Oryctolagus cuniculus: one gene and its partner. The protein of the gene in region 1 binds, or shares a complex with, the protein of each later gene. Links are inferred from orthologs where the notes say so. Each region holds a gene or a part of one and is shown in the gene's direction. Other genes may lie near its edges.

Evidence for each region.
Region 2: POLR2H (region 1) and GTF2H5 share a complex: the UniProt entries of both Homo sapiens proteins name them as parts of the TBP-based Pol II pre-initiation complex. The link is inferred for Oryctolagus cuniculus from reciprocal best matches to the Homo sapiens genes POLR2H and GTF2H5.

What each region holds. Positions count from the first base shown.
Region 1 is NC_091435.1:93,932,107-93,935,846, forward strand, and holds the start of POLR2H (DNA-directed RNA polymerases I, II, and III subunit RPABC3), read left to right. Parts: upstream 1-1,125; 5' UTR 1,126-1,636; coding exon 1,637-1,709; intron 1,710-3,740. UniProt on the Homo sapiens protein: DNA-dependent RNA polymerase catalyzes the transcription of DNA into RNA using the four ribonucleoside triphosphates as substrates.
Region 2 is NC_091436.1:9,584,939-9,588,678, reverse strand, and holds the start of GTF2H5 (general transcription factor IIH subunit 5), read left to right. Parts: upstream 1-875; 5' UTR 876-1,018; intron 1,019-1,652; 5' UTR 1,653-1,690; coding exon 1,691-1,725; intron 1,726-3,740. UniProt on the Homo sapiens protein: Component of the general transcription and DNA repair factor IIH (TFIIH) core complex, which is involved in general and transcription-coupled nucleotide excision repair (NER) of damaged DNA and, when complexed to CAK, in RNA transcription by RNA polymerase II.

The sequences.
Region 1 (3,740 bases):
CGTCCCCTCCTCGGCGGGCGGGCCGAGGGCGGTGCCCTCTGCGCTGCTCCGCCCGCCAGCCCATCCGGAGGGGCCGGCCTAGCCCGGCTAGGGTCTGCGACGGGGCCGCCTCCCAGGCTCCGGAGAGGCGGCAGGGGGCGCCTGGAACGCGCCTGCCGGCGGAGAAGGACTGAGAGGGGCGCCCGCGGCCGGGGCGGGGCAGGGCCACTGGCACGTGGAGCCGGTCCACAGCTCTCCGTGCAAGGCGGAGAGGGACCGGAGCCGCCGGGCGCTTAGGACTTCGGGCTCGGGGCTGCAGGGCTGCTAATTCGTGAGAGCAGCTGCCTTCTCTGCTGAGGACTGGAGGCCCAGGCGGGCCTGGAAAGGCCCCTCTGCGGGGGATTCGGAGGGCCATTCTGGGCTCCTGCCCTTGCTCGGGGCTAGCCTCAGGAGGTGCCCCTGCAATACCGGACCCGCCGGATTTTGCGGGCAAGGGGACTGGGAAAGAAAGGCCCGAGGGAAGGGAGTTCTAGTGCCTGGAAGGCAGGCGTCGGGGGTGGGGTGGGGTGGGCAGAGGTCGCTTCTCCTGGCAGGGCCCAAGGAAAACCCCAGGAGCTGCTGACGTCTCGCCGCCTTGGGGAAACGGCCTGCTGGGGTTTGGCTTTCTCTATCAGGGTCCGGGGAAGGAGAGAACAGAGGGTGGGGTGAGCACGGGGTGCACGGGCAGCGTTCGAGATAGCGAGCGCAGACGCGGCGTGCAGGAGGGCGGCAGGAGGCCAAGGAAGGGAGGTTGTGGGAGAAGGGGGCCAGCACCCGGGAGGAAGAGACAGGAAAGTGATCCAAGAGGAGGGCAGTGCTGGGGGAACACGCGGCACACGCTGAGGGGGCACTGCTAACGGGTAGGGCAGTGTGAGGGGATTTGTGGCAGGCGGAAGGAGCGAGCAGGGCCCAGGGGAAGAGGGCAGTGGTGGGGGGAGGGTGCAGCGCCAGAGGAGGGCAGTGCCAGCTTTCCTTTCCCCCGGAGTGATATCCTGGACGGCCCCGGCTCAGGTGACGTCCAGCAGGGCCGAGCCAGCCCCCGCCGACCTGGGGGCCCTCGGTGCCAGTTGAGGGACTAGGCATTACGTCCTGCTGGGCTAGCGCTCTGGGGGCGGAGTTTTGTTGCACCCGTCCCCGGCGCGGACTATGCCCTCGGGGGACACGAGGACCGGCAGGGTAGGGCTAGGGCCCGGCTTCTCTGGGGCAAAGATCAAGGTCTCGGCCTGGGTTAAGTCTCCAAGCATTCCAGGCTTCAGGGCCCGGACTCTGGAGAGGGCGAAGCGGAGCCCCAGCGGAGCGCGATAACCCGAGCCACCTCCGCCAGAGGTGGTGCTTGGGGCGTTCCCGCCCTGGGCGGAGTCACCTGGCTCGGAGACACGCCCTCAATGCGTGTTCCCTCGCCAGCAATCTATCGGGGCGGAAGTTGAGAATCCCCGAGGTGGAGGCGGCGGAAGTGGCTGCCGTACTGCAAGCTGGTGCGCATGCGCTTTCCTGCTGCTCTGCCGCCAGCGTTCAGGCGCCTTTTGCTCTAGTGTCTTCTTTTTCCACGCGAGAGTGGGCTAACTCGTAGTTGTGGTCTCGCTCCTCGCGTTTCCGCTGCTCTCGTGGCCCCCTCACGATGGCGGGCATCCTGTTTGAGGACATTTTCGATGTGAAAGACATTGACCCGGAAGGCAAGAAGTTTGACCGAGGTAGGTAAGGTGTGGGGTTTGGCCGAAGAAACTAACTTCCTCGGGACACACCCCTGGGCTCCGGCTCACGTGGCCTGCCCTTGCGGCAGGTCCTGATGTAGGGGCCTCTCCCAGGAGACCTTTTATGGATGAGAAAGCCGAGACGCCGAGCTCTCCCTGGCTGCACACACGCGGTGCCCAGTGCCATGGTGGTGGCAGGCTCCTGGACGTCTCTGCAGTCGCCTCTCACTTACACACATTTTGCCTTATTTAGTGCTCTCGAGAGTTCCCAGGAGGTAGGTGGTGCCTTCCTCTCCTCCTGGAGGGTAAGTTTGCCACCCAAGGCTGCACCGTGGTCAGTCTGACTTATGAGCCCGAATTCTTGTGTGGAGTCGAGTCTCCAGCTGATGTCAGACCCTCTGAGTTAACTGCGCGGTGCAGGCCAGGCGCCCGAGGTGTTTTTCAAGTCTCAGTTATTCAGTGAGATAATCCCCTTAGCATGGGAGAGGACACCTTTGGTTGAAGAAGTCCCTTGCCCAGACCCAGGTTCTAAATCACCCAGGTAGTGCCTAGAACTCTGTCTTTTGCTGCTAGAATATTTTGATTTGGGGGCAGGATTCCATTCATTTGCCATGCTTTTTTAAAAAATTATTATTATTTTTTAAAGATTAATTTTATTTATTTGAAAGAGAGAGAGGTAGAGACAGAGAAAGGTCTTCCATCCTTTGGTTCACTCCCCAGATGGCCACAACGGCTGGAGCTGTGCTGATCTGAAGCCAGGAGCCAGGAGCTTCTTCCAGGTCTCCCACACGGTGCAGGGGCCCAAGGACTTGGGCTATCCTCTACTGCTTTCCCAGGCCACAGCAGAGAGTTGGGTTGGAAGTGGAGCAGCCAGGATATGAACTGGCACCCATATGGGATGCCGGCGCCTTAGGTCAGGGCGTCAACCCACTGCGCCATAGTGCCAGCCCCAATTATTAATTTTTAAAGACTTATTTATTTATATGAAAGGCAGAATTACAGAGAGAGAGAGGGGTCTTTAATCCGTTGGTTCACTGCCCAGATGGCCACAATGGCCGGAGCTGCACTGATCTGAAGCCAGGCTCCTGGAGCTTCTTCCAGGTCTCCCACGTGGGTGCAGGGGCCCAAGGACCTGGGCCATCCTCTTCTGCTTTCCCGGGTGCATTAGCAGGGATTGGAAGTGGAGCAGCTGGGACTTGAACCGGCACCCATATGGGATGCCAGCACTGCAGGTGGGGCTTTGCCCACTAATCCACAATCGCTGGCCCCTGCCATGGTTTTTGTCCTCCATGCATATCTGGTTCTGAGCGAGCCTGCATTTCTCTCTCTCTCTCTCTCTTTTTTTTAAGGTTTGTTTTATTTATTTGAAAGACAGAGATAGGGAGAGACAGTGAAAGAGGTCTTCCATCCACTGCTTCACTCCCCAGGTGGCCTCAGTGCCTGGGGCTGGGTGAAGCCAAAGTGATCTGGGAGCTGGATCAGAAGCAAAGCAGCCTCTTCCAACTGGTGCTCTGATACAGAATGCCCACCTCGTACACAGCAGCTCTGCCCACTGCACTGCAGTGCCTGCACTTTTTTTTTTTTTTTTTTTTTTTTAAGATTTACTTACTTGTTTGAAAGGCAGAGTTACAGAGAGGCAGAGGCAGAGAGAAAGAGAGGTCTTCCATCTGCTGATTCATTCCCCCAAATGGTTGCAATGGCATGGGCTGGGCTGATCCGAAGCCAGGAGCTTCTTCCAGGTCTCCCACATGAGTGCAGGAGCCCAAGGACTTGGACCATCTTCTGCCTTCCCAGGCCATAGCAGAGAGCTGGATCAGAAGTAGAGCAGCAGGGACTCGAACCAGCACTCATTTGGGATGCCAGTGCTGCAGGTGGCGGCTTTACCCAATATGCCCTGTGCCTGCACTTCTGTGAGAGCACATAAGAGGCCAGTGGATGTAGATCAGGTTACATTAAATAGTCGATTGCCTGTAATTCCCAAACTGGGATCTGTCAGATCTGCCTTTGCCCTGGTAATTACATCGTCCGTCT
Region 2 (3,740 bases), on another chromosome or scaffold:
TTGCGGCCCTCTGTACCTTCACCAATAGACCGCAAACGTCTAGAACACGGTTTGGCACCTATCAGGTGCACAACAGTGCTCGCTGATCCAGCGGATGCAGATTTTAAAACTGGGTGACTTGGAGAGACACGGGAAGGAAAAGCAGGTTTTTAACGGGAGGGGGCGGGCGGAGGATGAGCAGCTCCGTCTGAGCGGTGGAGTGCACGTTACAAACGGGTCCCCCGGCGCGGGCATCGGGCCAGCACCCCGAATCCCCGGCACACCGCCCACGCGGAGCGCAAGGCAGAGAGAGCCAAGGGCACTCGCCAGGAACGAGCGCCCCGGGACGCAAGGCACGTGAAGACTCGGGGATCGCAGCTGGACCACAAGAGCCCACGCGGGGAACGGGCAAAAATCCGCACGAACTTCACCCGGCAGGTGCAACTCAACGCAAGGCGCCCGCACCTCCTCAGAGCGCGCGCGCTCCCGGGCCGGGTCGGCACCGGCGGGATCTCCGCGGGCTCCCCCTCCGCCGTGACCGAGGCTCCACGCCCGGCTGCACGCGGGCAGCCCCGCGCGGCGCCCCCCGAGCTGGGCAGCCGACGCCAGAGGACACTCCGGCCCCCGAGGACCGGAGAGAGCCCCTCACGCCGCGCGACCTCGCTGGGGCGCCCCGTCACCGTGCTCCCACGCGCCGCCGCCCGCGTCCGCCCTCACGAGCCCGGCCCCCCAGTCCTCCTACCTGCCGGCTCGCGGACACGGCCCGCCCCCCGACCGCTCACCGGGAATCCCGGCGCCGGAGAGCCCACCCTCCCGGCGCGGCCTGCCCCCGGCCCTCCACTCGGCGGCGGCCGGCCTGTGGCCCCGCCCACGCGGCCCAGCGCGCGCCCCGCCTCCCAGCGGCGCGCTCCTCCCACAGAGCGTCCCCGGCGCGATGACGTCACAGGGCAGACGCGCGCGCGCGCTGCGGGGCATCTGGGGGCCGCCGGGTCTGTGGGCTGCGGTGCGTGGCGAGCTCGGGGCAAGCCGGCGGGGTGAGGTGCGTGGGAGACCGGGCGTTCCCGGAAAGAGAGGGAGGAGAAAGATCGGAAAGTCTGTCCTGCAGGTGCTGGGGCGCCAGAGTGCGCCCCGCTCTGACGCGGCGCTGGGTGTCCGTGCCCTGGGCCCCGGGGTAGCGGTTGGAGGGGTCAGGGGGCGCCCGCCGCGCCTGGAGCTCGGAGCGCGGAGCCTGGGGGACGCGGTTTACCCGGGGAGGGAGCCCGCAGTGTGGCTGTGTCCCCCCACCCCCGACCTCCCGGTCCGGTCCGGTCCGGGAAGAACGGCGGCTTAGGGTCCTCGCCCTGTCTCAGGTCCGAAATGAAGAGGCTGGGCGCCCTGTAGGTCTTGCGGCCCCCTCTCCCCCGCCCTCCGGGACCTTAGCCTTGTCAAGCCCCCGGGTGGGGAGCCGGAGTACCGGGGCGCGGCGCGGCTGTGGGGTTCGGCCGCAGGTGTATGTGTGCGTGGTGGACAGCTCCGGACAGACTCCGTTTTGTGAGAAGCTCAGAATGGCTGCATGTCTCCTTTGTGTTAGCTTCGTCTCTGATAGACTTCGCTGTTTATACTGACGGGGAGTGGCTTGCCTTGTTCCGGTCGATGCTGTTGAATGACATGTCCACCTTGTCCTTTTTTATTAGCTTGGTTGAGATCCTCTGCCCCTTCCGGCTGGACAAAGATGGTCAACGTCTTGAAAGGAGTGCTCATAGAATGGTTAGTAGTTTTGATACCTCATTTACGTATTGACTCAAACTCATCTGACCTTTTCTGAGGTCAAGTCCCTTTTTCGTTTTCTTTTCTAAGGCCGGAATGCAATCAAGTCTTTCCATTTTCTACACTTTCAAAAAGTGAAACGTTTTGTCGCTAAATTTCTTCCAGAGTGTGGGGGGGAGGGGACAGAATTCAGTGTCTCCGTTGCATTAGTGTAATTGGCATCATTTCCAGCGATTTTTGATCAGAATTGATCGGCCTAGTCCTGGAGGGAAAGGTTACTCGTAATCTCTTCCAGCCATCAGAAGGTGACAGAGTTACAAGGCCTGTAAGATGGCAGGAGCTCCGTTGCCTTCATTACAAACTGACCTTTAAGGAGAAAGACAGGGCCCGTTAGGGTTTCTTGAACTCCTTTGCACACATGCCAGAGAAACCGGAGACCATCCCGGCCAAGGTTGAATTTGGCAAAGCAGTGTAATCTAGAGGGCTCGGCGATTGCCCAGTCTCCAAAATCTGCACTCCAGAATCAGTCTTGCTCCTTGTCCACTTGCTGGCTCACCCACCAGTAGTTCTGTCCCATGAAGGAACTCTGGCCTGCGCACCTCTGTGTGCCCCTGAGATGGCCATCGCACAGATGCTGCTATGTATCCCGTGACGGTGAGCCAGCCTGGGGAAGGGGCGAGGACAACAGCCGTCAGATTCGAGCGGCACCCTCCAATAGGAACAGAATGCAAGCCACATATGTAATCTTGAATTTTTTAGTAGCCACTTCTGAAAGTAAAATTAAATGGGTAAAATGAACATTTTATTTAACCCCAACATATTGAAAATATTCTTTCAGCTTGTACTGAGTTTTCAAAATAACAACAACAACAACAAAACGAATGCATTTGAAAGGCAGAGTTACAGAGAGGCAGAAAGAGAGAGATCTTCCATCCACTGGTTCTCTCCCAAAATGACCGTATTGGCCTGAGCTGAGCCGACCTGAAGCCAGGAGCTTCTTCCAGGTCTTCCACCTGGGTGCAGGGGCCCAAGGACTTGGACCATCTTCCACTGCTTCCCCAGGCCATAGCAGAGAGCTGGATCGGAAGTGGAGCTGTCAGGATTCAAACTGGCACCCACAAGGGATGCCAGCACTGCAGGTGTGGCTTTACCCACTACACCACAGCACCAGCCCCAAAAAACAGTCTTTAAAGTCCGGTGTGTATTGTGCTTTTCCAACATATCTCACAGACCGGCCCTATTTCAGTTGCTCTAGTGAGTGTGACTTGTGGGCTGCCTTATGGTTAGTACAGATCTGGAGTTTCGGCATAGGTGACCCGGCAAAGAGTGCAGAAGCTAAGGGAGAAAATGTTGCACGGAGGTGAATGGGCTGTAAGCAGGAGTGGTGAAAGGTGGATGATGTGAAGACAGACTAGATGAGATGCAGTCGATCTTTGGTAAGAGCTGTTTCGGTGGCGTGGTGGGAAAGGTGCCAGATTGGAGTGTGTTTGTCCCCCGCTCCTCCCTGGAGAATACTCTTCCAGCCCCTCCGCGGATGCCTTCCACCGCAGGTGATACCCAACCGTAAATGTAATGCCTTCCCGTTCTTACCTAAGCACTTAGGATGCACTGTGGTGATAACTTGCAGTTTGAGATGGGAGAGTAAAAGTAACAGGAACTTCTTCTACCAACACGATTTCATGAGTGGAGGATTGACTCTCATCATAGGTCGAAGCAACACCACACTGTTTTTTTCCCTGTGCTTATTAAGTGGAGAATTTTCACCACTTCACTTGAAGAAAGCATTTTACAGCTTCTCTCTGCTTTACCCGATTTGCACACTCCCTGCTCTTGCATTTGGGACAATTACTGAGTAAAACCAGGGCGCCTCAGCACAGCAGTGCTCTGACAGCCGAGGTCGCTGAGAAGACTGAGGGGCGGGTAGCACATCCAGCAGGACCGAGCACGGCCGTGAGAGACTTCATCACACTGCTAAGAACAGTGCTTGTCTCTGGAGTTTCCCTTTTACTATGTTT